3 linked regions of the Caenorhabditis elegans genome follow. The protein of the gene in region 3 interacts with the protein of the main gene of each other region in a pairwise test. Each region holds a gene or a part of one and is shown on either strand. Other genes may lie near its edges. The genes, in order: T27A8.2, cytb-5.1 and app-1.

Region 1 (10,585 bases), on a different chromosome or scaffold from region 3:
TCAAAAGTGTTATTGGAAATATTGTATTGCACTCAAATTACAAAAACATCGGAGCATGCAGAAATGGAACAGACAAAACGAATGTAACTATATAATTTTTCTCATTTCTCGAATTTTTGGTCCAGTATTTCAGAATTGTACTTGGGTTAGCAGCGCTGGACTGTGAATATATCGCACCGAAGGGGAGAGTAGTGGTAGTTGCACTGGCGATGGTGGCCAATAAAATGTTCACGAACTCCAAAAGTTCTGGTCAATTCGACACTCATATGTGTGCTGCGTTGAAATATATTTTGAATACGATCAACTATCTAAGTGACAAGAGATATACCACCATTAAAGGACACGTACGTTAATATGAGGCTTTATCAATACTGAATTGGAAATTCAGGAGATCATCTATCACTTGCCAGAAATTAATTCTCTGTTTTAGAACACTGGACCACTTTCCACTTTCAGTTTTGAGAGTTTTTACAATTTCACTATGTGTGGTTACTCTAGCTCTATCACCCGATATTTTCTTCAGAATGCAGCAACTAAGTTAGTTCCATATAACAAATGACTAATTACCTACATCATGTTAAGATTTCTGCTTCACGCTAACATCCGAAGAGAAATTGCTCGGAGAGCACCAACTGATCGCTCACGGAATATGAGGGAGTTCCTAGCTGTCACTCCAGTTCCTAGCTGTCACTCCTTCAAATAGAAAAAGTTCGACATTTTCCAAAAAAAAATTTAAAGTTTTTTATTTACAGGCAATGTTTGTGAATCCTCAAGCACAGTTGTTCTCACTAGAAGCTGCTGTGAAAGCAGACGACGTCGTAGAACTACCTAATCGCAAGTGGTTCATGTTGTCAAAAGCTATTGATCCAGAGAAAGTGAGCCGTTGGACTGCTGATACCTTCAAGGTTAATGCACAATCATTATGCACGCATGTGTATGACCAGGTAAGATTTTTTTAGGTTGAAATATAGACTGAAAGTCGTAATAAATTTACAGCTGGAGCTTGTGGATCCATATATGGGCTGTTATGGTATCTCCGAAAACGCTACAATCTACATTCCAATCGCACAACAGTTTTTCCAACGTTTCCGTGGTTTGAACAAAAGGCTATGCTATTGTGAAAATTATCTATATTTATAGAGTTCGCTGTGGCGGGATTTTCCATGCTTGATAAGGAAACAGTCAGGAACTACGTGGAAAGTCTTCTTCGGGATATGATGAAAAACAAATTGTAAGCTTCTACCAAGATTCATTAGATCTACGTGTTTGAAAATTTATAGGGACAGAGTGCGTCGTGTCTACAAACTCACACACGGGGAAGATTCGATTCGAGTGAAGACAAGATGGATGAAGGAGGAGCTAGCGAAGGAACACAGTGATATTTTTTTCCCGTGAGTTTTACAATATTTTTTCAAAATTTAAAAGAAAAAATACCTGCAAGAAAGATATTATCTTTCATCCTTGATTTTATTTCCAACGTATCCATCGAAATTTCCGTTTCCAAATCCATCGAAATTTCCGCTTCCAAATCCATCTCGTTTCGATTAACTTGTTCTACCTAACTCGAGGCTGTCTCTCCAGATGGATCTGAAAATTTTGATCGGAGAGGACCGCTAGTACCTTTCATTTCCACTAACCGCTCATATTTCAACTGCTATGAAACTTTCGACGAGTATACTACATGGCTTTGCGACAAAATGTTTCTACAAAATTACAAATCTGCTTTTCAAAAAAAAATTCAACTTTTCAGAACTGAATTTGATATAAAAATGTAGAAAAAGTTCGTTCCAACGGGAAATTATTTATTTTCGGTGAAATTTTTGAAAAATAGTGCCGGAAAAACCGGAAAACGGTAACTTTCCGGCAATACTTGAGATTTTTCTTAGATTTTTCAGAAAAATAAATATAATTTCCAGATGGAACGAACTTTTTTTCATTTCTATTTCAACTTTAGCTCAGAAATGTTAAATTATCAAATTGAGAAGCAGGTTTGCACGTTTGCCGATAATTTTTCCCGCAAAGCTTTGTAGTATACAAGCTCCAACCATAGCCATCCAGCGGTCTGTAAATAGAGTTAATATTAGCATCAATCTAGAAGCAGTAGAGTAGGAACACTTACCTTTGAGAGCCATCAAGTACTTGGTCTCTTCAAGCCGATCAATCCAACAACGGCAGAAAGCCAGCGTGGCGAAATTCTTGTCGATCAATTTGAGAAGACCCTTCGATTTTTGCAAGCGAAGTGGAATTTTCTCGTCGGCGAGCTCAAAATTCTTCATATAATGCGATGTTTCCATATCATCATGAAAATATCCTTTTCCCGTAGATCCGAACGTCTCAATCGCGTAGATCTCGTTCTCCTCCATCCTCGCCTGTTCACCGCCCTTCACAATTGGAACGGTCTTTCCAGTGTGAATACGGCATTGAGCGATCGACTGTCCGTTTAGACTGCCAATCGGCTTCACCTCATTCGAGTTTCCATGGAATTCGCATTTCGATTCCGTATTCTTTGATTGTGCCGTCTGTGGCTCTTTCCATTGGGTCTGTAAAAAGTTTTGATCGGAGAGAATCATCAGTTCTTGAGCTTCACAAACCGCAAAATCCCACATCGTCCTCCCTTCACTCTGCGATCGCTGAAGTACCAGAGAAGAATCTTTAAAAAAAAATCTCTGAGTGAAAGTGAAAACGAAGATAAAAAGATAAGACAGAGAAGACAAAGAAACTTGAGAAATGATGTTACTGGGCGTTTAATTTCACACGAATAAATGATTTTATCCCAAAATTACCACTATATCTTCGTGTTTATCGATATATAGTGGACAAAGGGAGCCAAACAAATTTATCAGCGTGAAAAAAAATATAAACTGTATATTAGTGAAAGAAATTCTGTCCAACTCGCAAAATTAAAATCATAATGACGAGAAAATATGCTCAAAATGAATGATTTTGCAAAGAAATGAGTTGGCACGATTTTTCGCGCGGTCCGCAATAGTTTGTCGGTGTCACGTACAATTGTCGACCGTAACCTTTAAATCTTTAAGTCTAGAAGACAAATGTGACAAGTCGACTGGGAAATTTGATAAAAAGTTAAAAACATATTAAATATTGCTCACAGAAAAAATTGAACTTGAATTTGAAGGAAATTGAAGAATTGATGTGTGCTGATGAATTTTTCCGTGGAATTCATACAGTAATATAAAAAATATAATTTTCATAACATCGAATTTAGAATTTTCTTCAGTTTAAAATTTGAACAGTTGAAATAGTGAAAAAGCGAAATAATATAAACATTTGAAAATAGTTCGTGATAAAATTGAATACCAATTCCATTTCAGGGATGAGCTCATTTTCGTCGAAAGTCCAGAAGGCTCGGCTGATTTGGAAAACATGGGGGATTTGACGGAGAAGGCTGGCGGCGAGGGAACGTCTGGAGCCCCAGCTTCATCATGAGCTGTTTTTGTTGATTAATTAATATTGCAACTAATTATTGGTTTGTTACTTTTCTTATTAATTTCTTTTATTACTGCTTTTTTTGTTTGTTGTTCAGATGAAGTTATTTTTGTTACGAATTCTGCTACAATCAACCAAAATTATTTGTTCTGGGGCTTTCATGAGCCAAAAATGCTTCATGTCTTTCCGGCCGCTACATTTGGACCCATTTCTACCGTACTCATGCCCGTTCGCAACGCACGCGTGAAGCATGCTTCCTTTCGCAATGCACGCGTGAAGCATGCTTGCTTTCGCTACGCGCGCCTGACGCATGCGTGACGCGCGTCTTCGCTTGGTCCTCTCAGACGCGTGAGCGAAGCGTGTGAGACGCGCCACGCATGAGCCGCGAATCACCTGTGAGGGTTCAATCCCCTCACCGAACCAAGGTGGTTCTGAGTTGCTCACATGCTCAGATAAGTGGAAGTTCGGAAGATTGATGATCAAAAAGGTGGTGTTGAATCTTATTGTTTCATTCAACATTGACAAAAGATCGAAAAATGTTTTTTTCATTTTCATAGAATTGTCTTCAACTAGGCTTATACTCTTTTCACTCTCTTTTTCTGCTTTAGTTTCCCACAGCGTTTGTCAGAAATAACAAAGTTTGTATGATTTTTTTCCAATTTTTCCGGAAGAAATTTATGTTGGTAGGAATGTTTTGAACTGAAGACAAAAACTCCTGTAGCGCGACCAAAAACGAATTTCTTGACCCAGAAACGTACCCATAATACTAAAAAAAAATTAGCAACCATTTTTAAAAAAATTCTCCCAAAATTCCGAAATTTTTATTTTTGTTTTTTTTGTGCCTGTATATACCTGTTGAAATTGGAATTCAAGCCAAAAACCCCTGTAGCGCGACCAAAAACGAATTTCTTGACCCAGAAACGTACCCATAATACTAAAAAAAAATTAGCAAACCATTCTCATAGAAACTCTCCAAAAATTTCAAAATTTTTTTTTTGCAAAAAAGTGCAGTCATATGTATGTAAAAAAATGAATTGAAGACAAAAACCCCTGTAGCGCGACCAAAAACGAATTTCTTGACCCAGAAACGAACCCATAATACTAAAAAAAAAATTAGCAATCCATTTTCATAGAAATTCTCCCAAAATTCCGAAATTTTTATTTTTGTTTTTTGTGCCTGTAAATACCTGTTGAAATTGGAATACAAGACAAAAACCCCTGTAGCGCGAACAAAAACGAATTTCTTGACCCAGAAACGTACCCATAATACTTTTAAAAAAATTAGCAATCCATTTTCATAGAAATTCTCCCAAAATTCCAAAATTTTTATTTTTGTTTTTTTGTGCCTGTTGAAATTGTTGATATTGAGGAAACCTGTTGAAATTGGAATTCAAGACAAAAACCCCTATAGCGCGACCAAAAACGAATTTCTTGACCCAGAAACGTAATACTAAAAAAAATTAGCAATCCATTTTCATAGAAATTCTCCTAAAATTCCAAAATTTTTTTTTTGCAAAAAAGTGCAATCATATGTATGTAAAAAAATGAATTGAAGACAAAAACCCCTCTAGCGCGGCTAGAATATAACTTGTAGGTCCAGAAACTTATCCATAATCTTTTAAAAAATTTAGAATCCAAATCTATGGAAACCCTACCAAAATTCCAAAATTTTTGTGAAAAAACTTCTGTCGAATACCATAGGAATTCTTCTAAACTTTGAAAATTTTCATTTTTGTTTTTTGCGCCTATATTTGGATTACCGGGGGGAGTCCCATAGTTATTGGCGGGACATTCAAATTTTCTAAGAAAAAATTTAGGCGAGAAACTCAAATTTCCTGAGAAAAAAAAACATTTTGGCAGGAAATTCAAAGATTCATAGTCCGGAACTAGATTTGCTTTCTTTCCTTGTTAGTAGTGCGGCATTTCTTTTTGCTGCAAGATATGCCGTTGTTGTTCTGCTTATTTCTGGAAAAAATTTCATTTTAATATTTTTGTGAAAATTTTCTGTTTTTCCATGTTTTTCTATGAATAACTTTTATGGAAATTTTTATGAATTGTTTAGCTTTAACAATCCTTCTAACAGTTAGGAAATGACTAAATATTATAATGGATCTTTTAAAAATTTGTGGAATTTTTTTTTATTTCGGGTCTGATCGTGCGCCAATTTTGGAGAAACCAAAACACTGTTGCTTGTTTGAATCCCAACAATATTAAAATAGGATTACTGGAAACGTGAGTCAAATTTAAAACTGAAGGTAACTTTTTTTTTGAATATTTTTATTATGATATTTGGACATTTTTAAATTTTAATGTGAACGAGTTTTAATCTTTTCCCACAGGCCGTTGTCCATCTTCAATTAAAGTTTTTTTTCATCTTTACAATCATCAATTTTATAAAACCTTCAACTATGCTCAGATATAGCCGACTCAAACTTTTCATAATTTCGAAATTCAATTTTTTTTCAATTTTTTTGTTTCCTTTTGATTTGGTCATTACGAGTTCGTTGTCGTGTCAAGATTTGACCTACGACAAGTTGGTGTTGCCTGCAATGCGTGAGTCGCGCGACAGGTCTGCCCTCGTCTTCCGCACACTATTATCGATCGATGGTTTATGGCCGTTTGCTGACATTTGAATGTGCCATTCTCTCATATCCACAGCTATACTTTTTTGTGGTTTTTTTTTTGTTATTTTTCATGTAATTTTCGCCTAACTGAATCTGACGTCTGCACGATTTAAATTTTTTCCCACTCGGCAAGTTGCCGCAATATAAGATCCAAAAAAACAAGACATTTCTGTATTTCCTTTATTATGTACGTGGCAAATAAATTTGAGAACCTTCAACTAACTAAGTAAATTTTCATTTTCAGCTACCATGACGTATTTCACTCACGAAATGAACCAAATTATGGGGCTTCATCATCCGGAAATGGCGATGCCCAAGTTCAAAATGGTCGCCCTGGTCAGTGCTGCGATGGAAGAAGCGGATGACGTGTTTCCGGAGATTGAAGTAGTTGTCAAGTGGATCACCGACTTGTTCCCGTATTACAAAGTGTTTCACGATATGTACAAATGGGAGTTTGTTAATCATGTGGCCTGGGTTCTGGACACCGAACTGTGCTTTCGTCGAGAAAGGTGAGTTTTGTGAAGTTTGTAGAAATATTTTTAACAAAAATTTGAAACATTTCAAATTCTTTTTCAAATATTATCGGAAACTGAATTTTGTTGTCAGATTTGCGTGTAGCGTTTAAAAATTGGTTTTCATATAATTTTCAACAAATTCAAGTAAATCCAGAATGTAATTACAACAAAAAATAAAAATAAAGTTCTGCTAAAAAATATCAGATAACAAGTTATATAGCCAAATCATACAATTGCTGTTCATATAATTTAGACATAAGAACCAGAACTGTGCGGCAACCGGCAACCAAGTTGCCGGTTGCCAAAAATTTGCCGAAATTTCGGCAACCAAAATTTGCCGGTTGCCAAAATTTTTTGGGTTTGGCAACTTCGGCAATTGCCGGTTGCCGCACAGCCCTGATAAGAACCCCACAATTTCTCCAAAAATTTCACCAAAATTTCTTTTTATCAGTTTTTTGGAAAAACAAAAATATGTGAATACTCATAAAAACTGTATTTTTTTGGTTTATAAATTTTGCTAAATTTAATCACTAGCACTTACTTAAGAATAACTCCAAAAAAAACTTAAGAAATAACTCCAAAAACTATTCGTATATGTTTTTTTATACTTTCAATTTGCAGAGACGTGAGATCTGGACTATGGGCTTATGAAGACGGCAACAAGGATATTCTGGATGTTGAGGAGGAGTTTCGAAAGGATATAGACGAGTTGAAGCAATATGTGGAGCATCAGGTGGAAATGGTATGTTGCCATGGAAATTTCAGTCATATTATATTAAAAATTGTTTTGCAGACGGATCTTGCTGGACGGATGTATTCGATGTCCTCAACCGGGTGATCTCTTGACAAGTTTTTCATAAAAATATTTCATTTATACATTAATTCAACTTATTCACTTTTTAGATTTTATTGAACCAATTCTGTATATAAAAAAGTTTCCAGTTCAAAACATTCCTACCAACATAAATTTCTTCCGGAAAAATTGGAAAAAAATCATACAAACTTTGTTATTTCTGACAAACGCTGTGGGAAACTAAAGCAGAAAAAGAGAGTGAAAAGAGTATAAGCCTAGTTGAAGACAATTCTATGAAAATGAAAAAAACATTTTTCGATCTTTTGTCAATGTTGAATGAAACAATAAGATTCAACACCACCTTTTTGATCATCAATCTTCCGAACTTCCACTTATCTGAGCATGTGAGCAACTCAGAACCACCTTGGTTCGGTGAGGGGATTGAACCCTCGACTGTTGACTCCACGGTCGAGTGCTTTACCACACTTGACCATGTTGCCAGCTCAGGATGAGTCACTGATTGCGTTGAGTTGGCGCCATGAAAACGTGGCGCGGTGGCGTAGAATGGCGCAATTTGTGCTGAAAAATGAACACTAAATGTGGGTAAAGTATATATTTCTAATATCAGAATTTTGCACTGATTTCAATGGGCAGCTTCAAATTGTTCAATTTTCAATCTAGCAGAAATTGGGACTTTTGCCAAAAAAAAAAATAAATCGTCAAATTCTATTTGTAAACCACGTTAAACATTATTAACTGTGAAAATGGTAAATGGTCCCATATCAGGGTGTCCCACAAGAAGATGATCTATAACGAAGTATCATAATATATCAATAAATCCAATTGACAACAGGTACTTTTGGTACACCCCTTTTGGTTGAGAAAAGATGGGGCGCAAAAAATAAAGTCATCGAATAAAAAAGTGAGACTGGCACCATTTATAAAAGTGCCGTAGCACGGCGGACAATTTGCAAAATAATTTCCAACAGCTGCAACACAGACAAATTAATATGACTTGAGGTTTTAGCAAAACTCTGTTTTTTTTTCGATACTGAGCTGTCATCAAAACTGAATTGCATTGTTTCAGATATCTATTTCAAAAGTTATTTGAGATAAGTTCAAGTCCGAGTCGGATTTAAGTTTGAAACCACTAGCTAGTCCACCTTCAAACTTTAATTTAGATCAAAAATCTTTTAAAAACAATTTTTGTGGCCACTCGCGCAGGTAGCCATCCTCCCTGCTGCTAAATTCGCTTTTAGGCGGTCACAGATATGGGAAGGGGCATCTGACTTTTAAATATAAAGTGCCATGACTCGTTTTTTTTTTTCAAATTTGCCGCAGGGAGTTGCACATTCTGTGGATAATCAATATGGTCGCTGTGGGGGGTTGTCCATATGGCCAGGGGTAAAAATCGGATAAGATGGTGCTCGTTTTTACCCGTTAAAATTTAGAAAAAAAGCAATATTTTGAAATGCTAAATTGTGTTTATTAAAACCGGTTAAACAAGACAAGGAGTGTAGCAAAAAGATAGTCTGTGAAAGCTAGCGAAACAATATAAAGCAATGTGTGTGTGTGTGTGTGTGTGAAGCCAAATCATTTTTTCCCGCCGAACAAATTTGACGTGTTCTGAAATCAAACTGGATTGCATGTAATGTAAATTTACACAAGTCATACCATCGATGAAAAGTTTTCAAACTTTTTAATGATTTCGGAAACAGATGAACAGGATGTATACGTATTCTCAACCTGAAAGTTGATTCAATTTGGGTAAGCTATAAATTATTTTTTGAATTTAGTGGGCATTATAGTTACAGACCAGGGGTGTGCGGCAAATCTCAAAATTTGCCGAGCTCGGTAAATTCGGCAAATCTCTTTTTCCAATATTTGCCGAGCTCGGCAAACGGCAAATTCGGCTATAAAAAATGTAGAAAAAAAATTTTGGTCGACTTCCGTTAGTGGCAAAAACTGAGTAATTGTCACTTTTAGACTGTAAATAAAAAATTTTCAAAAAAAAAATTGAAAAGTTTTATTATGATATTCGGTCATGTTGGGACCATAATAGTGGTTATTAACAATTTTCCCACTGGCGCTACTCCACTTTTAAACTAGAAATTTCCTTACATAATCGCAACTTGAAAATTTTGAAAGCTCATAGAACACCTATAATATTACCTTATTGTCACTCACAACACTTATCAATCCATTTGAAACTGATGTGTCCTCCTTCTTTTTGCGCTCCATTATGATCCAAACCATATTTTTCGGCTCTGGTGGCTCAGGTCCATAGATAAGCGGACCTGGCATAATCTCGTTATGAAATAGATCTCTCAGAAAAAAAATACGGGAAACGGCAATATGAAAGGAATATAAAAGGTGGAAGGTGATACATAACCATTTGTATGCAAATTTTCACAGAGCTCGGTTTTGTATAGGACAATAAAGTAAAAAAGAAACACGGTTTCGAATTCTTTTCAGTTGATAAAATGTGATAGGGGATTGGGGGTGGACAAGAGAAGACAGACAAGTTTGAAAAAAGAATCTAGAGGTTACAGTTGGAATAAAACAAAATCACCCTGCTGACGCAATTTTTGGAAGAAAAATCGAATAATAAAACGTCATACTTGTTTGTTTTTTTAAACCTTTTTTTTTTGAAAATCTGAAACAAGTATTTTTCCGCCGACTCAACTCGGTAACTCAAAAAAATATAACTTAAAAAACAATAATTTCCAGAATGCTTTTGAAATGTTTGCCTGGCACAATCAAAATCATGAGCATAGGAGGTCAGACTCTTTTTATTTTAAAGGTGGAGTAGCGCCAGTAGAGATTTTGTCTAAATACACTTATTGTGATCCGAAATGACCAAATATCATAATAAAACACTTCAAAAAATTTCCGGCATTTCATAATTTCCAGTCAAAGTTTTGGCAAATTTTCAAAATTTTGAAAAATAAGAGCTTTTGAAGAAATCCAAAGCAATGTCACGTGTTCTGACCCCTACAATGTTTTAATGCAAATAATTAAAACAAAATGACAGTATAAAGAATGTAGAAAAACAATTTTTTTTGGTCGACTTCCAAAATTATGAGTGGCAAAAACTGAGTAATTGTCACCTTTTGAAAGTAAATTTAAAAAATTTCCAAAATTTTTTGAAAAGTTTCATTATGATATTTGGTCATTTTGGGACCAAAGAAGTGGTTTTTAACAAT
Region 2 (10,585 bases), on a different chromosome or scaffold from region 3:
GAAAACTCCTACCTGATTTTGGAGAGAATGCGTTGTTACTCGATTCAAATTGCATCCTGCAAGCACCAATCGCTCCACCAAATTGTCGTGCGGAGTTGGAGGGCAGTCGCGAAGAGATTGTTTCTGGAATTTAAGCGTTTTATCCAAGGTTTTTGAAAATGTCAAAGCAACTTACCACTATATTTTGTGTCTGCATTACTGAATTGAAGTGTTTGAGATGCAGAGCTGGAAAATGAAAATTTTCAATGATAAAATTAGTTTGAAAAATCAAAAAAACATAAATTAAAACAAAAAAATGAGGTTTTTTTATTTGAAACATCAGCGGATGATGGATGCAATGCATTGTGTGCAATTGCGCTAGATTCCACGCGCAGTTGCGGCCAGAGAGACTAGGCAAATGGAGAGATGCAGAGAAAAATGGCAAGACTTTTCCATCTGCCTTGTGGACCATCAGCATCGTTTATTTTCGAAGCAGAAAAAAGTTAATTTCTTGTTCCGAGAAAAAACCTGATTTGTATTCAAATTGAATTTTTTGAAGTCAAAATGGTTTTGACAGTTAAATAGGTTGATGAATTTTAATATTTTTGATACTCATGAATTCCTTTGAATAAAAAGTTGAAAATCGATAACAGAGCAAACATCCTTGAATGTGATTTATAATAAGTTCAAAGCGATTATTAGCTTTTCTCTTTTTTTCCGAATATTTATAAAAAATTTCAACATATTTCAGATTACTTTCAACTAGGATGAACCGAAACAAAAACAACAAGGTGAGTGCAATGAAATTATTTTTGAAAAAATTAAATTGTTATACTGATATCCCGTGATTAAAGTCTCAATTTCAGAAGGGTCGCCAAGCTCAATTGGTCCAGGTGGCTCAGCGGACCGTAAATTCTACAATAACTGGAAAGCCATTGAGCACTTTCCACGAGGTTATTCTGCATCAACTTTCAATGGTGGGCTATCATCGTGTGCGGTATTTCTCATTGTCTGGATATGACATGGTATGAAAATTATTCATGATTGATAATTAGATATGAATGTTTTATTACAGATTGTTGGTGGAATAGCTTGGGCAGTCAGCATTTTGGTGCCGGAGCCAAATGGACATCCTTGGAAATTTCGAGAAAGCTTGCCTGATGATAAGAAGAAGACTGCTAGTGAAAAGAGGTGAGTATTGGTTAAAATTAATTTTTTTGAATTCTCTAATTGTGATAAATTGTAACATAGTTAAAGGTGGAGTAGCGCCAGTGGGGATATTGTTGAAAACTACTTCAATGATGCCAAAATGACCAAATATCATAATAAAACTTTTCAAAATTTTTTGAATTTTCTTTATTTACTGTCAAAAAGTGTTACGCAGTTTTGGCATTCATAATTTTGGAAGTCGGCAAAAAATGTTTTTCTACATTTTTTCTACTGTAATTTCATTTTATATATTTTTTTTTGAAACATTGTGGTTGTCGAAACATGCGACATTGCTTTGGATTTCCCCAAAAGCTCATATTTTTCAAAATTTAGGCAATTTTCCAAAACTATGACCGGAAACTATGAAAAATCTAAAAGTTTTTGGAGTGTTTTATTATTATATTTAGTCGATTGGAACTTTTATAAGTGTATTAGACAAATTCCCAATAATGGTGCTACTCCACTTAAAAAAATAATAATATAGATTTTGAATTTCCATACTTAAATGTTCTTTTTAGTTTTATGTTGATTATTTCTAATGTTTTCTTGGACCTAAACATAAAAAATTTTGTTACAGAAGCGAAATCGCTCAAATTATATATGCTCTTCAAAAAATCAACTGCCCGTTTGATGCAACTGAACAAGAATTCCTGAATGTGGACTCATCGGTTCTGGTGGATATCATCACTTGGGTGTTACAACGAATCAGTCGCCAAACCATGGATATGGATCGTTTCAAGTGTTTCATGGCCTGCTTCAATATGAAATATGAAGATGAAGCCGCCGCAGCACTGGACTTCATATCTTCATTGCGTCGTCCAAATGCTAATCAATACACCGAATCAGCACGAATTAAACTGTTCGACAATGCAATTCTTCGTGATATGAAAGCTGATAGCAGAATTATTATTGCTGAGTATCTTCAGTATGGACAAACTGGCGTCAAGAAGTATCCATCATTTGTTCCTTCTGACGAAGAAGGAAGGCACAAAACTGGATTAAGCGAGATTTCCGAGGCACAATATGAGAAGCAGCGCCAAGATCTCAAAAAGTTGAGTAACAAAATTTATTCTGCATCTTCGGATACCACCAAACAGTTTGCGGACAAACTTTTCTCAGCAATCGACAACTTACATCTGGCTGAAAACATTATTGAACTGGAGCAACGATTCAAAGAGGAGGCGGCTCTCTACTATGCCATGTATGCCCGGTTTTCGGAATTGGAAGCACAGTTAAGTGCCGCAACTAAGTACACTTCTTTTTTGTGAGTTTATTAATTGCACTGTTTCACTTAAATGACTAATGTTTCAGGACTTCTTTCGAGGTCGAGAGAATCACCGACGTCGTCGCCACAACGATTAGTCGGGCATCAATGTTTCACACAGATTTTTCTCAAGAGCTTGAATTAGCTGTGGAAGTTGAGAAGACGCTTGCTGCAAATAAAGATCAAAATGGTGCATTTAAGAAGTATTGTCCATTTCGTAGAGAAAAATTGGAAAATCACCGGAAGGAAAGGTTGATTCTGCAGAAGGTTATTGACGGATCTTTGTATAGTATTTCCCAATAAATTGTTTCAGAAAGCTCAAATCGCCCAGAGCATTGAGCAAGCTGTCAGAAAAGCCTTTGAGGAGTATATTGAAGTTCGCCAGAAAAGAGAGCAAGGTTCGATGGCCGACAACATTGACGATGATCCATTCAGCATGCTCAACGAAATCGATCACACAATTGCGAGCGACATAAATGAAATTTTGTCAACAGTCAACAAGATGATCGGTCATGTGAATTCAATGCCTCAACCAAAGGAGTAAGTGTTTAAATTGATACATACTTCTGATATTATAAGTTTGCAAACATTTTTTGAAAAAAAGTTTTATTTAGATGTTTGGTCATTTTGGCACCATAGGAGAGGCTGCCCCACTTACCAAATTTTTTTTTCAGAAGGACCGAGTACGACTACCGTGTTGCATACATTGGCTACACAAGCGATGCTTGCATGTTCTTGTCGGATTGGCTGGGAAAGGCAAAGTTCCTGAAAGATCAACGCAGAAACTTGTGTGAGAGAAATCTCCGTCTAAGCTTTGACACGAAGAAAATGTGCCATCTGGTGAAGTGCGCTTCTCGTGAAAATGCCAAAGTAAGAATACATTTTGAAACCTTACAAATGAAAGTCGGAAATTTCAGTATCATGCCCTGAGCGACTTGCTGTTCCAGAAGAGAAAATATATGAGCACCTGGGAACAAGATCTTTTCAAAAAAGCGGGTGCTGGTAACAACTCCTCGGAACTCCCAAAAAGTTGGGAATTGGACTATGCAGCGTTCAAGAAGTAGACACACAAATCAAAAAAAAACATTCCATAATTCTTTCTTTTCGCTGCTTTATTTGCCATTTTGCAACTTGTGTTCATACTATGTATACGATTTCCCCATCACAACAATGATTTCTCATATCTCATGATTTCCCTTCCACCATTGTCACTGAAATTTTTCGATTGTCGCACCCCCGCCCACTCGCCACGTAATACCCGGATTTTATTAATAAAATATTGATTTATTGAATGAATCTAGTTGGTTTTTTTTTTGAAATTCTGTGAGCACATTTCTGTGAGTATATATGAATAATTACAAAAAAGACAAACTAATTTCAGATTCCATAGAGAAAATAAGATTACGAAAAAGCTCTTTTGCTCGGAACTTTTTGGAAATACAAAAAAGTGGAATGAATATTTGAGATAACAATAGTTTTAACGCATGTTGTTACATTATTAAAGGTGGAGTACCGAAATTTGGGAAATTTTTTTAAATTACTCCAAATTTTCCCTAATTCCGAATATCTAAATGAAAAAATTCAAAAAAATTTCGCTGATTTTATATTTGAGCTTGAAATCGCGACTTCTTTTTCGTCCCCATCAGCTTTTTCAAATCCGCGCCGAAATAAATTATCCTTGGAGCGCGTTTGCCTCATTTAATTTTATGCATATTTTTAATTAGTTTTCAGCTATTTTCGTTCATTTGTTTTGAAAAATATATTCTTTCCTGCGAATTGAACACTTTATTATCAAAAAATGAACGAAAATAGCTGAAAAACTGAAAAAGAAAGTAAAAATATAAGGAGAAAATTAAATGAGGCAAAAGCGCTCCAAGGATAATTTATTTTGGCGCAAATTTGAAAAAGCTCATGGGGACGCAAATGAAAATTGCGATTTTAAGCCCAAATACGAAATCAGGGGAACATTTGGAGCCATTCAAAAATATTTCCCAGATATCGGTACTCCGCCTATAAGGTATGTTTTTTAAAGACGTTACACTGTGGAAAAATTGTTCTTTAAGAGCAATAGCCAACTTTGAATAGTTTCAAATAAAATGTTTCTTTAGATTTTCAACTCAAAAATTTTCGACGATACGTTCCATTTTGCAAAATAATGTTTCGTCGTATTACTCACATTTCCTCCAAAATTGAAAATGAATTTAACATGTAGTCAATATGACCAACAAACTACTTTGTCTATTTTCTCCTCAACGTTAAATTCAATCTGTACAATCTTTCCTTATCAAATACACAACCACCTTTGATCACTCTCCTACTCTTTTTCTCTCTTGAAAATTTACTTTGACTACGTGTGTTCCGAAGACTACAAACCATAGATTCTCTTCTCTAGCATTCTCTAGCCCCATTTGACCATACTGGCGAACCTACTTTGGTCTGGTGCGAGAGCGTATAGCAACTGGTATAAAAGGCTACGCAGCCCTAGACTTATTTTCATTTCGTTGCATATCGATCGATAGGAACGGATCCACGTTGCCTGCGTAGCCTGCGTACATTAATCCCTTGGCGGTCACATCTCGCCCTTCATCTCATGCACCTTCCCCTTTTCTTGTTCTATCCAGGTCATCCCAATTTCTGTTTCTCTCCAAAGTTGGAATGAATAGACGCAACTATTTGTGAAATCAACAAGTAGATAGTTTTATTTTTCAGCTTTAAATTAAGTAAAAACTAAAACATTAAAACTACCGTTACTTATAGAGTTGGATTTATTTTTTCTATTTGCCTTTTTAAACACTTCCACTAAATTTGAAAATTGAAGCTTTTTTTTTAAATTTATTTTTAAGATTCTGATATAAACAGTTGTTTTGAGATGATTCGTTTATTATACAGTTTTTAGTAGAAATATAAATGTACGTTTTTTTCGACTAATTTGTTTCTTTCTATTTGAAGCAACGTCTTTCAAAATATTGAGATGTTAGCTTTACGTTTTTAGAATTAAAATAAGGACTCTTTTTCACGTGGTGTCATGCTTTCCCATCGCGGTTTGATCTACAAAAAAGCGGGAAATTGTTTCCCAATAAAATGCGACGTCAGCAACTTTGTGAAATCACTTGAGAAGTCTGTTTCTAAATTCCCGCAATTCTTGTAGATCTGCGTAGATCAAACCGGAATGGGACACTCTGACACAACGTTTTTTTGACAATAATGAAGTATGACAATTTGAATCGACTAGTCAACAGTCTGAAACCACTACAAACCGAACAAAACTGCAGGTGTTTTTTTTAAATTCAACTTTCAAAAAATATGAATTCTTGAATAATTGTCTGTGATCCGCAGGAATCCCCCGAATTCCTGAAGAACGGATTGACTAAGTAACTAACTAACTAAGTAAGTAAGTAAGTAAGTTCATCATTTTTCATAGAATCTCTACTTTTAAACGTTTTGGTTATTATACACATGTTTCGAAATCACAAAACTAACATTTCCAAAGTGTTCCCAAAATGTGCTTTATGCTCATGTTCTGTTGTCATGACATCAGGTTAGAGTATAGTCTCATTGCCTATTGATCATCGCGAGGCCACCCTCCCAGGCACACTACTCCTTTTGCCCAATTCTCTCGTCCATTTCTTCTCCGCCGTTATTATTTGTTTGTTCAAATTGTCTCTCTGCTCTCTTTCCCATGTTTCTCTATTTCTCCTTTCAACTTGGTCAGCTATTTTTCTCTCTTCATCCTTGACACAATTGCTGCTGTCTTTTCTGTCTTGTATTGCAGGCCTGTATTTTAATAACATAATTTAATATGTTTTTTATTGCCATACTTCTCATATCTATATATTTTTTAATAACACGAAATGATTTTCAGAATGGCCGATCTTAAGCAAATCACCCTTAAGGAAATTGCCGAGCACAACACAAACAAATCAGCATGGCTTGTAATTGGAAACAAGGTGTTTGATGTGACCAAGTTCTTGGACGAGGTAAGATTATGTTCTGATATTTAGAAATCCGTACTCGAAGCACGTAGGCAGACATAAACCACACTTTACGGTACGAATAACACAAACGCAGATTCATTGTTGATCAATAGAAAGAAATTGACATCTATGAAAAATGAAAAGGAATTAAATTTTTTCTCTGCAATTGATAGGATTTCTTGCTCAAAAATTTTTAGCATCAACTTTATCAAAAATAGCCGTTACCGTCTCTTTCAAATATGTATTCTTATTTTATCGTTAAAACAAAATTTACTGTTTGATACAATCAAAACCATGACGATTAAGATATCGAAATACTTGAAAACAAATAGGGGCAAAAATTCCCGAATTTTTTGTAGATCAAACCGTAATGGGACAGGCTGGCACCACGTGGCGCATCAAAACTAAAAATTAATAATGTTTTTTTTTCAGCATCCGGGAGGTTGCGAGGTCCTTCTTGAGCAGGCTGGAAGTGATGGAACTGAGGCATTCGAGGATGTTGGGCACTCCACTGACGCTAGGCATATGAAGGACGAGTATTTGATCGGAGAAGTCGTTGCAGTAAGTTTTTGCCTTTTTTGCTTATAATTTTCATTCATTTGTTTTGTGTTCCAGTCTGAGAGAAAAACCTACTCGTATGACAAGAAGCAATGGAAGTCTACCACCGAACAGGATAACAAGCAGAGAGGAGGGTAAGTAGGGTTATACTTTTATTTTGAATTTGAACTTTTTTAAAAATGATTTTAAAAGTTAACTTTTGACTAAACGCTGCATCTCAGCTCAGAATAATAATATTTTTTCAGAGAGTCAATGCAAACCGACAACATTGTTTACTTCGCCCTTCTTGCTGTCATTGTTGCTCTTGTTTATTATCTTATCGCTGCGTAATCACTGTTGATCCACTATTTTCGCCATGATTTTGAAAACTGGGGCATTATCTTACTTAAAAAAAACTGATTTTTTTTTCATTGTTATCCAATAAATGTCATTTTGTGATTTTATTATCGAAAATAAATACATCACTGTGATTAACATATGTACACTGAAAAGGGACTTTAATATTTTGTTTTCATTTCGATCGAAATGATAATGATTGAATGGAAGCTGGTGTTGAAGAGGACGTTTTTGACGATGGAGGTATGTTTGGAACTTCGTGGGTTACTGGATCATTGATCCAAAGATTCTGAAATTAAACAGCTTTTATGTTAGCTAACTTGGAATTAGTTACTGTGGAAATATCTTTCCTCCAAAGCAACACTGCTTCGTCGGCGCCAAACTCTCCAGAGCAGGTAAGAATGTGGTGCTCGCTGAAAAAAATTTCTTGGATATGCCATAAGTTCCTTGTCATGAAGTGAGTGAATGTTGCGTGAACGAAAAAAAATCTTGAAGTCGTTTATATTTTTCTATAACACTTACTTAGTTAACTAATTAACTAAGTTAGTAAAAACATTACCCAATATTTAGCTTCAATTTCTCAATTCAATTTTGTAAAAAAATCGCTTTAACAATTGTTGAAAAAAAAACTTTGTTCACAAATTGCGTCATTCCAACTGTGTGAACTCTTGAAACTTTGCTCACCCGCTAGAAATTATCTTTCTGACGGAAGTCTCCGATATTTTCAATTTCATGAACAAGGACAACCTGACGCTGGAGACCCTGCAAAAAAAACCATGTTACTCTCTTATTGATAGTACATTATAATGAGGCCATACACTGCACTGTCCTCTACATCGTTCGATGTTTCTTTATCAGCACTTTCTGAAAACAAAAAGCGATCATTAAACTGTGCGGTAAAATATTGAGATGTACCTGGGACTGGGACAATGTACGGATCATCAAATGTTAAATCTTTCCGCTGAAGATTAAGTTGTTTTGATGGAGTGGCTGAAACTATGCCGGATGCTTTAATTTCTTGTCAATACGAATTCAATATTTAAATTCCAAACTAACCAAATCGTTTATGAGACGTTATTGCAACTCTTCTTCTTGATCGTTCTTCATCCGAGTATAGCTCAAAAGTGTCGTCATATTCCATTGAAGTACAACTGGAATTCGTTGAACTGAAGAATCTGCAATTACAAAATGAATTTGGTCAGAAGTTTTTGAATAAAAACCTATTGTCCCTGAATCTCGGAGAATCTTTTTCTTTCTTCACTGACAGAAAGTTTTCATCGCATTTTTCAATTAACTCATTGGGCTCGGAGCTGAAAACAGAAACCGCCGAATCCGCACTAAATCCCTTTTTCATGGGAGATCTCAAAGTTTTCGATGAAGAGCTGTTTAATCTGCTGAAAAATAGTTGTGTTTTCTAATTTTTTGTATGGTTTTACCTGTATGTGCTGCCCGGAAAATCTACATCTTCTGGATTTTGTTGGAATGAAGCAACTGGAACTATAATGTTTCAGAATTATGTTTTGCAATAGAATTTCTCACTGCTATATTGGTGTGTTTCTCTGTCTATGGAAATGCTAACCCGACTTGCGCGCTTTTCAGCACAAAAGATTGGTACAGTTTCATTATCATCACTTTCATCATTATTCTCAATAAGAGAACCGAGTCTTTGAGATCTTGCAGACGATCCACGCCGACTCGGCCGTTTTTCACCAGGAAATCTGAAAGAAAACACTGTAAATTTAAATTTGAAATTAAAATCAAAACCTTTTCAGCTTATATTTTACTTCCTCCTTTCCTGTTTCATTTTCAACGTTATAAATAAAAACGTATCCATCAGAAGTGCCCAACCATAACGTTTCATCATTAAACAGCATTGATTCTACATAGTTACTATTTTCTGTGTCTGATAGTGATGGTTTTCTGAAAAACTTTCCAATATTCATTGTTATTGACAACTGAAATAACCGTGTTTTGTGGTCGAAAGAAATATCATACAACAAATTGCAGGCGGTGTCATGCCATAGTTGAATTAATGTTGAGTGGTTGGTAGTTAGAAAAATACCAAACGGTGATTCGGTCATACAGGTGATCTGAGAAGGCGATAGATTTTTTTTTCATTGGTCCGATTATTGAATATATTTTGAAAAGTGGGGTACCGAAATCTGGGAAATATTTTAAAATGACTCCAAGTTTTCCCATGATTCCGAATAATTAAGCAAGCGCGCTCCAACGATAATTTATTTCGGCACGCATTTGAAAAAGCTCGTGGGTGCACAAATGAAAATCGCGATTTTAAGCTCAAATATAAAATCAAGGAAATTCGGAATCAGGGGAAAATTTGGAGTCAATTAAAAATATTTCTCAGATTTCGGTACCCCACCTTTAACTACACTGGCAACAGAAATTATGAGTATAAAAACTTTTTTGATTTGATTAGGTTTTCAGTTTTTGTGTTTTTTTAAGTTCAATGAGTTCATCTCATTTATATTTTCACGTGAACTCACTTTATCAAAATAAATCACACCCGATCCAACATTAGACGATGCCACATGGGTGGTCGATAGCGTCGTCAAAGATTGAGCATCGAGGGTTATTAACTTGCAAGCAGTTGCTACAACCAATGTATCGTCATGAATAACAGCGTTTGTCAACGGAGAGGAACTGAGTGGCATGTGCCACATTTGGACACTGGTTGGCCAACGCTCTCCAGCGTTTTCAAAGACTGTGAGAATACCATTGGCGAGCCCAGCAAACAGAGTGTTCTCTTGGTGAATAAGAAAAGTTGCCACGTCGGGAAGTTTGAGCTCCCATAAAATGCTCCTACAATTTTTTGATCGAAAATAATGGTTAATCACAATTTTTATTAAATAGTAATTATACACTAGTATTTGCAATAAATTAAGTTAACATACCACTCATTTTCACTGTTTACGTGTGCTGCAATTAAATACCCTGATATCAAGCTCACATAGGCCATATCTTTCCGTACCATGCAAATTGACATTACACGACAGTCGAACTAAACACATCATCATATATAATATAGAGAAACTCTCATAGAATGACTTACTTCAACATCAATATTCTTCATACATGCTTTGTCCTTGACTACTTTAATTCCAGCAATTTTCCCCATTAAATGATGACCGGAAACTATGAATCCTAAACATTAGTCTTTGAATTTTGCTTCAGCTGTGATATCTTACCAGTGTTTGGAGTGAATGTGTCGATGAATATATTTGAGATTAGCTTTTCATTAGTCAAA
Region 3 (10,585 bases):
ATATTTTTAGCGAAATAAATCAAACGGCCAATGAGTCATGTTCAAATAGAATGCTTTTGAAATCGCAATAAAAGTAAGAGAACCTCGTAAAAGAACATTGCTTACCATTTTTTGCCGATTTTGTGCCAAGAATACGGTCCCGCTCTCGCAGTAGTAATTCCAAAAACCTCTGATTTGCTATTTCTTTGATTTTTTACGCTATAAAGTTTTTTCCAGAGAAAAGTTTGAAAATTTTGAAAAACTGCGAAATAACGGGAATGAGATGCTCACGTGGTGTCAGAATGTCCCATGTCTGTGTGATCTACAAGTACTATAATACAAGAGCGGGAATTTAGACTCCTCAACAGATTTCGAATGGTCAAAATGGGTGAAAACAAAGGAAAATGACACATTGAAGACGTCTTCATTGGAAAACTAAATAGAACATGAACCCTCTACCAAAAGACGACCCATAATAAACAACAAATGAATACTAAACAAGAGGAGCCCACCCACCGTTGAGGGGAGGAGTAGGGTTGGTTCGGATTAGCATACACACGGGTGGCAGTAACTGGACAAAATGTGAGAGAACATGTTAATTAAGGAGACACAGACAATTGGCATATGGTATTATTGTGTAGTCTCTGTGGTGGTAAGAAACGTGATTACAAGTCGAAACCTTGGAAATTAGCGTTTGTTAATTGAAAAAATTGAGAGAGGATGGAGGGGAAAGATAGAAGAAGCCGCCCGGAAGAAATTGCACAACGCCAGCTGTTTTAGGATTCTCATCTCGTTAAATATTCCTTTATATTTCATTGAGAAAAATGAAAAGATTTTTTGAAAAATAAGATTTCAAGTGGGAACTATTTCAAAAGAAACTCAAATTTTGAAATTTGAGTTAGCAAAATTTTATTGAGATATCAGAAAAGTGACAATGTTCTACGGAAAGTCATCAATGCTCTACATAAAGCTGTGTACTGTTTGGCAGAAGACTGGAGCTCTGTTTAGATGACAAAGCGCTTCAATAACCTACCACCGGAATATTGCAAAGCTACAAAAATCTGAAAATGTGCAACAGAAAAAAGACTTTCAAGTGAACGCTGAATTGTTTAACTTTCATTAATCAAGTTAATTTAGTCATTATGCTTATTTCCAACTTATTCTCTTAGTTGAAATAATTGGCATATTACTATCTCTATCCTGTCACCACTTTCAAATGTTCATTGAATATTATATATATACATATATATATATATTCATTATTTTCGCTCCTCTCTCTTCTCATTTCCCATCATTCCTCTCTTTCATTAGATCCCAATTGAATTGAATCCTCCCTAATGCATTCCCCTCTCCCGCTTACTATAGCTCACCTGCGCAAATGCACATAATACTCACTCGATTCCGCTTATATACCTTCTGTCACAATAACAATAATAGTAGTTGCATGGTGTTTGGTTTTGGAAACACACATACTGAATTACGGGAGTTAAGAGTTTTATGGAACAATTGAAAAGAAATAATTCTGACATAGAGTTATTTCAATGTTTAATAGTGTTACAAAATAAATTCTGAAAATGTATTAGAAGAGATTTCTTTGCAGGAAGCGTTGAAAATTGGCAGATGATGAGTGTGGTCTGAAAATATGTTATATAATTTCAGACAGTTTTAGTAAACTCTCATTGAATAGAAATATTGCATTTCTAAAAAGTCAGTATCACAAAACTGTTCCAAAATACTTTTGTGTAAATTTCAGAATGAGGGGTAATAAAAAGCGACTTGAAAATCTTACCGCTGTGCTTTGGTTTCCCCAGGAAAGCTGACCCAAACATTAGTGTCCCATCTTGTTTCATCAATATTCACATAAAACATTGCAGATCGGCGACCATTTTGCCATCTAACACAGTACTTGTGTCTGGAAAAAAAATCATTTATCTCAGTATAAAGCAGTTTTTCAAACTTTGTGGCATTTGAAAACTAAATATTTATTTTATATTTTAGACAAACTAATTTTTTCCTCTAACTTCTAAATAAATTACATGTAGTTAGATAGCGAGGAGAGCGTTGAATTCTAAAAACTAATAACCAAAAACATTTTTCAGTAGGTGGTTATGCTTTAACACAGTTGCGGTGAGACTAAATTAACTTCAAAAGATCCACTGTTTTTGAAAATTTGGCAATCTACCAAAACTTCAACTGAAAGTTTTGAAAAATCTGAATATTTTCAGAGTGTTTAATTAGATTATTATTTGGTCATGCGTGGGTTTATACAGAGTCCCTACTGGCGATGATTAAATTTTTGAATTTTGAAAGTTGTTAAAATAAACGCATATGTACCTTTGAAGCATATTCAATGAGACAGTGCAAATGAATTGAACGACGTACTTACATGGCGCGTATGGTATACTCCACATCTTCAAGATTTTAATTAATTGAAATTAAATAAATGAAACTTTTCCCTACTTGATCAATCATTGCATTTATTGCTCTCTTGCCATCTGTTATCGGAGACCAGTTTTTGGGACGAATCGGTTGCTCAAGTGTTTTCTGGCGATGTTCTTTTGGTATTGTGATAACTTTTATTCTGAAATTGATAGTTGGTACTATGAAAATTTGAAAAACAAATTTTTTAATTTTGCTTGAAATTAAAACATAGTTTTTTTAAATGGCAAAAACAAGTAATTGCCACTTTTTGATTGTTGATTAAAAACTTCAAATATTTTCTCCTCCAATATTAAAAAACTAAACCTCGGAGTTGTAGTAGCTGTCGATGAAGATGAGTCACTTGGAGCATTACTGGGAAGCTTTTGTCTTGACAACTTTCGACGGACTTGTTCCACAGATTGGTCTAGATTTTTCAGAGTCTGAATAATAAAGTTATCAATTTTTTCTCAGGTTTTGAAATTTTGAGGGTCTGAAAACTGTTTGTAATTGTAATTTGGGGATCAATGTTAAATTTAACACTTAAGTAATAGTGTTCCGTGAGGAGAATGAAAAACCAAAACTGAACAGAGTTATAAAATGAATTATAAAATCATAGAAAATTAACGGAAGTCGATCTACCAGGTGTACTTCTTTCCAAAATTAGTTCCAGAAATAGAAATAAAAAGCGAACATTTCCAGAATTACGTAAAAGTTAATGCGAAATAGCGAAATATTGACCAAATTTAAATTTCTATCTCAATACAAGATTTGGTTCAAAAATCGGTTGAGCTAAATTTGATAGAAAATTGTTTGAAAAAGCACCGAGGCACAAAAAATTCAATTTTTTAAAGTTTTCTTACCTGTACATGCCTTAACGATGCAATGAATGATGCTGAAATTACAGCTCTTGCATATCTTCTACAATCCCGTAGATCTCCAGAACTTAAAGCTGAAGAATACATTCACTAGTAGTTCGAATTTTATATAGTATGCCTTTCGAATACTCCGTGAAATTCCCAGTGAACTGAACCATTAACCAATTTGACGTTTTTTTCTTTCGTTGGTTTTCTCTCCAAGACACCACAATTGTTAGTCATTTCTATCAAAATTTATGCTCGGATTTGCCGAAGATTCAAAAAATGACGACGAATAGACCAAAAATCAAAGTTGCATCTGTTATAAACCGAAAATATTTGGTGAGTTGGGATAAAAACATAGTTGTATTCAATAAGTTAAAAACAAATATTCCAGGCATTTAGAAAACTTGGAGAAGGTGGATGTGGAGTCATTTACGAAGTTGCGATGGTGAAGTGCCCAGGGAGAAGATTTGCGTGCAAGGTAATAATAGATTTTGACATTCTTTTAAATTACTACTTTCAGGCTGAAACTACCGTATTTGATGAGGATCCAACACTGCCAATGGAACACAAAATAATTTCAAAACTCAATGAAAAGAATTCTATCCACTGTGTGGAACTTATTGATAAAGGACAAAGCGACAACTATCAATTCATTGTTATGACACTTTTAGGACCATCACTTGATGCAATTCGAGCGACTCTTCCTACCAATAAATTCTCGACTTTTTCCACTTTAGTCATGGGAATTCAAGCATTGGATTCGATTAAAGAAATCCATGATATTGGATTTGTGCACCGAGACGTGAAGCCGGCGAACTTTGCGATAGGAGCACTTGGAACACCGAAACAACGACTTGTTCATGTTCTAGATTTCGGAATTTCTCGTCAATATTTGGTGAAAGATGGGGAGAATGGAGGATTGAGAATACGGAAACCAAGGAGAATTGTTCCATTTCGAGGTACTCTTAGATATTGTTCAGTGGCTGCTCAAGAAAGAAAAGAACAAGGAAGACATGATGATTTGTGGTCCTTGTTTTATATGATTGTCGAATTTGTGAAGGGATCACTGCCATGGTGAGTGGTGTTTTCATTTTTGAAGCTTCTGTAAAAATCTGGAAAAAAGTTTGAAGTAATATGAGCCCCACCGATAAAAATACAGTCCTAGTGTGTGCCTTTAAAGTGGCGTTTCGTGTTAAAAAAATCTTTAATCATTTTTTTTCAGGACGGGAATAATGGAAGAAGAGAAGGTGATTGTTATGAAAGAAGATGTCACGGAGCTATTCAATGGCCTTGAGTCCGAATGTGCAATGTTTGCTCAACACCTGTCAGTTCTTCGTTATCAAACGAATCCAGATTATGCACTTCTTCGAGATCTTCTCATGAATATTTTTGTTCGACGAAATTTCAATGCTCAAATGAAAGTTGATTGGGAGAAAGGTGGACGATATGAAAGCCATTTTGAGAAGAAAACTTCAACTTTGTAAGTTTTTAAATATTTTGAATATTATTAAGATAATTTGAATATGTTCAGGCCAGTTGTTATCGAGAAAGACATGACTGAAGTGGATCTGTCAAAGTTGCTGAATGTTCCGCAAAATGAGAGAAATATAACAATGGAAGAAATTATAGCTGCTGGTAAAACGACAGAGGAAGAGGGACTGAATACTGCTCAAGATGATACGATTGTTGAGGATGAAAATGGATTTTTGGTGAGATTTACGGCGAAAGTTGTTGTAGGTAGGCATGAGGTAGGCACGTAGATATGCAGATATGAGGTTGAGATCAGACCTATAGGCAGGCGCACGAGGGGTAGGCATGAGGAAGGCACAAAGTTAGGCAAGCAGAAAGTAGACAGGCAGGCATTAAGTTAGAACCAGGGAATGAATAATGAAGGCATGTATGAAGCCAGGCATAGGAAATGCAGTTTTGAGGTGCGCCTAGGCAGGTAGGTATGAGGTCAGAATAGGCATACGGGATCTGAGAATCAGGTAAGTGTGTGTTGCGTGTAGTTCTAATGCAAACGCGTAGGCAGGCATGGGGGAGCTCAATATTAATAATAAATCGTTATTAGGCAGGCATGCGGCAGGTAGATAGGCATGTAGGTAGGTGCCGTAGACAAGAGATATATTTGAAACATTCAGGGAAAACAAGAAGCCAAGCCGGCGACACCATCTGCTCGATCTGAAACCAGTAAGAAAGTGAAAAGGAGATATATTGCGAGAACACCATCGGCGCATAAGGTATAGAATACGTTATTCGACGTATTAAATTTTCCAATTTTCAGATTGAACAGATTGAAAAGAACTGGAAGAAGAAAGAGGAAGAAGCGAATAAAGAGAAGTTGCTGAAGAATGCACGGGCGGCACGAAGAGCCAAAGAAGATTTTATTGTTCCGGAGGATAATACGGTTCAAAAAAGAAAACTCGAGAGCACACAACTGTCGTCTGCAGTTTCCACGAAATCCACTAGAAGTATTGGAAAGAAGATTTTGCCGCCGAAATCATTTGAGCTTCATTGATAAATTTTATTTTTTAATTTTGTAGACACACAGACAGATGTAATCGTGCTAAAAATTACGATTTTGAAAAAAAACAATTTTTCTTTTTCTTAATTTTTTTGAATACGAAAGAATGAATTTCCAGACTGAAATTTTCATTATTCATTAATTTTCGCACGCGTAAATTTTTGGAGAGGAAATAAAAAACCGCGATGCGAGTTTGGGTTTTGCTGTTCACAGTTTGTTCAACAAATTTATTATGAGTATTTTTTAAAGGTTATTTTCTAAAATTCTAGACCTGAATTTCGAGCGAAACTCATTTTCAAATCTCCTCCTTTTTTGACCCATCAATAGAGCGCGCCTTCTCAGCTTTCGAGTCACCACCGATTAGAGGCCTGTGAGACCTCGTGTCATAAAAATTTCTGAAAAAAAGCGTGGATAATTCGTATCAGGACACGAATAAAGTTAATATTTTAAATGATCCACAGTGAAATTAACATTTTCATTGAAATTTTCGTCTTTTAATGATATTTCAAAACGTTTCCTTTGCGGTTTTCCAAGTTTCCACTTCTTGAGTCTAGAGATCTCGAGTCCGTAGATACTCTTCTCATTTTTTGGAACAGCGTTCGTTCTCGATTCGGCAGTTAATTTTTCATTTTAAAACATTTTTAGACTTCAAAAATAGTTATTTTTCAGTTTTCTTCTCAAAAAATTTCCACATCCTCTGTTGTTTTCATTCAATAGAATTCAGAGATGATTTTTGATTTCTGTATGTATAAAACCATTTGTGATTGCGTATTAAAACGATTGATCGACAATTTCGTCGTTGGTTTTATTCGTTATCAGCTCTAAAATTCGAGAAAAATGTGCAGACGATTAGACGCTTGGTTTTTAAATTTCTCTTTACAAGTTTAGCTTTAATTTTCTTTTTTTTTCAGATCGGGCAGAATTGGAGTGATGACAGCATTGGAAAAACTCGCAAAATTGAGATCCTTGTTCCATTCGGAACGGGTTCTCGCGCTCACTTCCAGCAAGCCGATGGTCGCGTATCTTCTCCCAAGCACTGACGCTCATCATGTTGGTTTTTAGGCTTCAAATAATCTTCTAAATGTTAATTTTCAGAGCGAATATCTAGCCGATTACGATTTTCGAGTGAAATTCCTGTCTGGTTTCAGTGGTTCCAATGCCTACGTTGTTGTTACCGATAGAGAAGCTCTCCTTTGGACTGATGGCCGATATTTCACTCAAGCCGGGAATCAGCTTGATTCCAACAGCTGGAAATTGATGAAACAAGGACAGCCCGATTCGATTACTGTCGTTGATTGGCTTGTGAGAGAGCTCGAGCGTGGATCCGTTATTGGATTTGATCCAACTCTGTCGACGTTCGACGCTGGTTCCAAGACATTTAAACGTCTGAAGGCAGCAGGTCTTCAACCAGTCTCGATTCCTGGAAATCTAGTCGACGAGTTCTGGACTGATCGGCCAAGACTCGCTGGTGAGCCAGTAAGTTGATAGATCTATACTGCGGGATTTAATGTTCCACTTTTCAGGTAGTCGTGCTCGATGTTGAAGACACTGGTCTTACAACTTCAAAAAAAGTCGAGAATCTTCGGGAGAAGCTGAAACAAAAAAAGTGCGACGCAGCTGTATTTACTCTTCTTGATGATGTTATGTGGCTTCTGAACATTAGAGGAAGTGATATCCCGTACAATCCTCTTGCATATTCATATCTCTTCGTGGCAATGCGCGAGATTCACGTATTTATCGACAATGAGAAACTCGATGAGAAATCTCGAGCCCATTTCCACAAATCGAATGTATCGATTCATCCATACGGAGAAGTCTATTCATGGATATCCAATTGGCTCAAGGCAAAAGAAGCGAGCAAAGAGCCTCACATGGTTTATCTCACACCAGAAACTAATTACGCTATTGGAAGCATTATTGGCGAAGAGAACTCGATGGTTGACACTTCCCTGGTTCAGGTAATTCCATGAATTTCTTGAAATTTTTGAAATTTAATCTTTTTCAGACCGCCAAGGCCACCAAAAACGATCATGAAATGCAAGGAATGAGAAACAGTCATGTAAGAATGGCTACAGCATCGTTTAGGATATAATTTAATTCTTTCTAGCTTCGTGATAGTGCTGCTCTTGTTGAGTTCCTTTGCTGGCTCGAAAAGGAGTTGCTCTCTGGAAAAAGATACACTGAAATCGAGTTAGCTGATAAGATAGACCATTTGAGAAGTCTTCAAGACAAATATGTTACTTTGAGGTTCGTTTGTTAAATATTTAAAACTACATTTAATTTATATTTATTTTCAGTTTTGATACCATATCAGCTGTCGGAGATCACGCAGCACTTCCCCATTACAAGCCTCTCGGAGAAAGTGGCAATCGTAAGGCTGCAGCCAATCAGGTGTTCCTCCTCGATTCTGGAGCTCATTATGGAGATGGAACAACCGATGTGACGAGAACTGTGTGGTACACGAACCCACCGAAAGAGTTCATTCTGCACAATACTCTTGTATTGAAGGGACACATTAATTTGGCACGGGCCAAGTTCCCTGATGGTATCTATGGTTCTCGTTTGGACACGCTGACTCGTGATGCTTTATGGAAGCTTGGTCTCGATTTTGAACATGGTACTGGACACGGTGTTGGACACTACCTTAACGTACACGAAGGACCGAGTAAGACGAAAACAGTAAATGTAACTGTTTGAATATTTATTTTCAGTCGGAATCGGTCATCGTAGTGTTCCAACCGGTGGAGAGCTTCATGCCAGCCAAGTGCTTACCATTGAGCCAGGATTCTATGCCAAGGAGAAGTACGGAATTCGAATTGAAAACTGTTACGAAACAGTTGAAGCTGTTGTCATGTCTAAAGCTCAGAACTTCTTGACATTCAAGGTATACCCAGATCCCAGGAACTTTATAAACTTATTAATTTCAGTCTCTCACTTTGGTGCCTATTCAAACTTCGATCGTCGACAAGTCTCTTCTGATTGAAGAGGAAATCAATTGGCTCAATCAATACCACGCTCGGGTTCTGAAGGAAGTTGGTGAACATCTTCAGAAACGCGGAAAAACGGATGAGCTGAAATGGCTCGCAGAAGCCTGTAAACCAATCTAAATATCTGGAACAATTACAACATGTTTTATATTATTTTAACCGGTCAACGTCTTGTTGAGCAAATTTGTGCTCAATTAACTATTTTTTATCACAATTTCTGGATCCTGGTGTAAAACTTATTCTCCCCGAATGATTCATCCGTATTCCCCTTTTTTTCTCCTGTCGTTCTTTCTCGCTTTTCCGTAGATTTCCTGTACTAATACTTGAGAATGAATCTTTTTCTTTTGTTAGTTGGAAAATTGAAACATAAATAACAATGCCGGCTAGCAGGTCTTAACAACTGTAAGCTAGAATGTTTGGTTGACGACATTTTGCTGTCGGATTTTGACATCGGTGCAGAGATTCAAGCCAAAGTGCTTACAAGTGAGCCAGGATTGGATGTAAGGTTAATAACGAATTTGAATTGAAAACTGTTGCGAAACTGATGAAGCTGTTGTGAACTGCATTCTCATAGATCCAAGATTCTCGCTTTTAACTTCTCCTCGATTTCCTGTATTTACAAATTCTTGAAAATGAATAATTTTTATTTGTTGATTCGTAAACTGAAATATTTAAAAAAAAGAAACAAAAATACGGACCAACGGGTCTTAACAAGTAAACTAGAATACGGTTTGATGACACAGATGAAAAATAATTAAAGCTTGAATATCAAGCACTAGTTGGCCGGCTTCATATAGCTGCCGCTCGCGGGAAATTTGAATTTTTGCGGAGATCTGTCCACGAATGGCTTCTTATTCTTATCGGCGATCCATGACGCTGGAATTGTGGAGATGCCCGGGGATGATTCCGCATTTTCAAGCCATTGATCTGTGCAGCATAGTCCCATGCAATCCCTATCCTCACAGAACAGCTTCGACATTGAGCTTTCTTTTGGTGGCAGCAACTGAAAATAGGATTTCGTTTTTGAAAAAGAGTAATATAAATTTATACCACAGCTGTTTCGATGTTACTCCAATCCTTTGGCTGGCCATTAAAAAAGCTGTTCTGGTAGATCTTCCGTTTTCCTGTATCAAATGATTTGATGTATGCACGACCCGTTTTCCTGATGTGCGCGATTCTCCGGGCAACATCTTCTTCGGTCTGAAAAAACAAGATACACTGGATGTGTATGAGAAAAATTGCTCACCTTGGCACCTTCAAATCGAACTTCAAGGATTGGAGTTGGGACATTCGCGAACTCCTGCGGCAATTTTCTCACAGTCAGATAATTCGTCTTCAGAGCTCTCATACTTCCTGTGTCAATCTCGATATACAAATCGAGTCCGGGTTGACTTTTGTGAGGACGAATACCACAGACATGACGAGCTCTTCGGAACATTGTACCCTCTTCCTGAAACTCCTGGAGGCACAAAATAACATTGACTCTCCAAAAATATGGCTTCATCGGCTTCCCATCTTCTTGTTTTCCTGATCTTTTGGGGTCTTTGTCGGTTCCAAACGTATCTCTTTGAAGATGTGATAGTTTGTTGTACCAAGCCAAGAATCGAGCGGAAAAATCTTTCAGCATTTGCTCCTGATCGTGTTGTTTAGGGATCACATACGCATGAAGATTTTTGTTGCTGCAGAGGACTTTTCCGATTTCCATCTCTCCCTTTTCGTAATCGAAAACATTCACATGAGGTATCAATGCAGTCAGCGCATTTGAAATCTCTTTGGGCACGATGGAGGCTACATGCTCACAGTTCGATGGTGTT

The links.
Region 1: the proteins of app-1 (region 3) and T27A8.2 interact in a two-hybrid assay, tested with the Caenorhabditis elegans proteins (one large-scale study listed by BioGRID).
Region 2: the proteins of app-1 (region 3) and cytb-5.1 interact in a two-hybrid assay, tested with the Caenorhabditis elegans proteins (one large-scale study listed by BioGRID).

What each region holds. Positions count from the first base shown.
Region 1 is NC_003284.9:16,054,670-16,065,254, reverse strand, and holds T27A8.2 (Fork-head domain-containing protein), read left to right. Parts: upstream 1-6,309; 5' UTR 6,310-6,320; coding exon 6,321-6,580; intron 6,581-7,207; coding exon 7,208-7,328; intron 7,329-7,379; coding exon 7,380-7,424; 3' UTR 7,425-7,579; downstream 7,580-10,585. Other genes in the region: Putative uncharacterized protein T27A8.3, read right to left, coding at 1,965-2,062, 2,120-2,570; T27A8.7 (uncharacterized protein), read right to left, coding at 8,973-9,005, 9,054-9,125, 9,552-9,635.
Region 2 is NC_003284.9:13,995,610-14,006,194, forward strand, and holds cytb-5.1 (Cytochrome b5), read left to right. Parts: upstream 1-6,314; 5' UTR 6,315-6,315; coding exon 6,316-6,429; intron 6,430-6,858; coding exon 6,859-6,987; intron 6,988-7,041; coding exon 7,042-7,118; intron 7,119-7,229; coding exon 7,230-7,314; 3' UTR 7,315-7,471; downstream 7,472-10,585. Other genes in the region: C31E10.5 (CCDC93 N-terminal domain-containing protein), read right to left, coding at 13-123, 176-196; C31E10.6 (CCDC93 N-terminal domain-containing protein), read left to right, coding at 747-770, 846-1,004, 1,055-1,170, 1,766-2,452, 2,500-2,719, 2,766-2,992, 3,127-3,322, 3,370-3,516; tbc-19 (TBC1 domain family member 2B), read right to left, coding at 7,496-7,609, 7,655-7,733, 8,005-8,082, 8,139-8,184, 8,236-8,310, 8,377-8,495, 8,541-8,714, 8,757-8,811 and 7 more.
Region 3 is NC_003279.8:4,963,200-4,973,784, reverse strand, and holds app-1 (Xaa-Pro aminopeptidase app-1), read left to right. Parts: upstream 1-6,695; 5' UTR 6,696-6,714; coding exon 6,715-6,834; intron 6,835-6,879; coding exon 6,880-7,260; intron 7,261-7,307; coding exon 7,308-7,742; intron 7,743-7,789; coding exon 7,790-7,843; intron 7,844-7,891; coding exon 7,892-8,031; intron 8,032-8,081; coding exon 8,082-8,449; intron 8,450-8,495; coding exon 8,496-8,668; intron 8,669-8,711; coding exon 8,712-8,891; 3' UTR 8,892-9,118; downstream 9,119-10,585. Other genes in the region: W03G9.9 (uncharacterized protein), read right to left, coding at 1,559-1,613, 1,769-1,891, 2,314-2,390, 2,440-2,560, 2,725-2,840, 3,261-3,362; W03G9.5 (Protein kinase domain-containing protein), read left to right, coding at 3,540-3,596, 3,652-3,738, 3,781-4,334, 4,483-4,740, 4,792-4,969, 5,402-5,500, 5,545-5,778; Protein pid-4, read right to left, coding at 9,547-9,774, 9,822-9,971, 10,018-10,585. UniProt on the Caenorhabditis elegans protein: Catalyzes the removal of a penultimate prolyl residue from the N-termini of peptides, such as Arg-Pro-Pro. Has activity towards the flp-9 neuropeptide KPSFVRF-amide.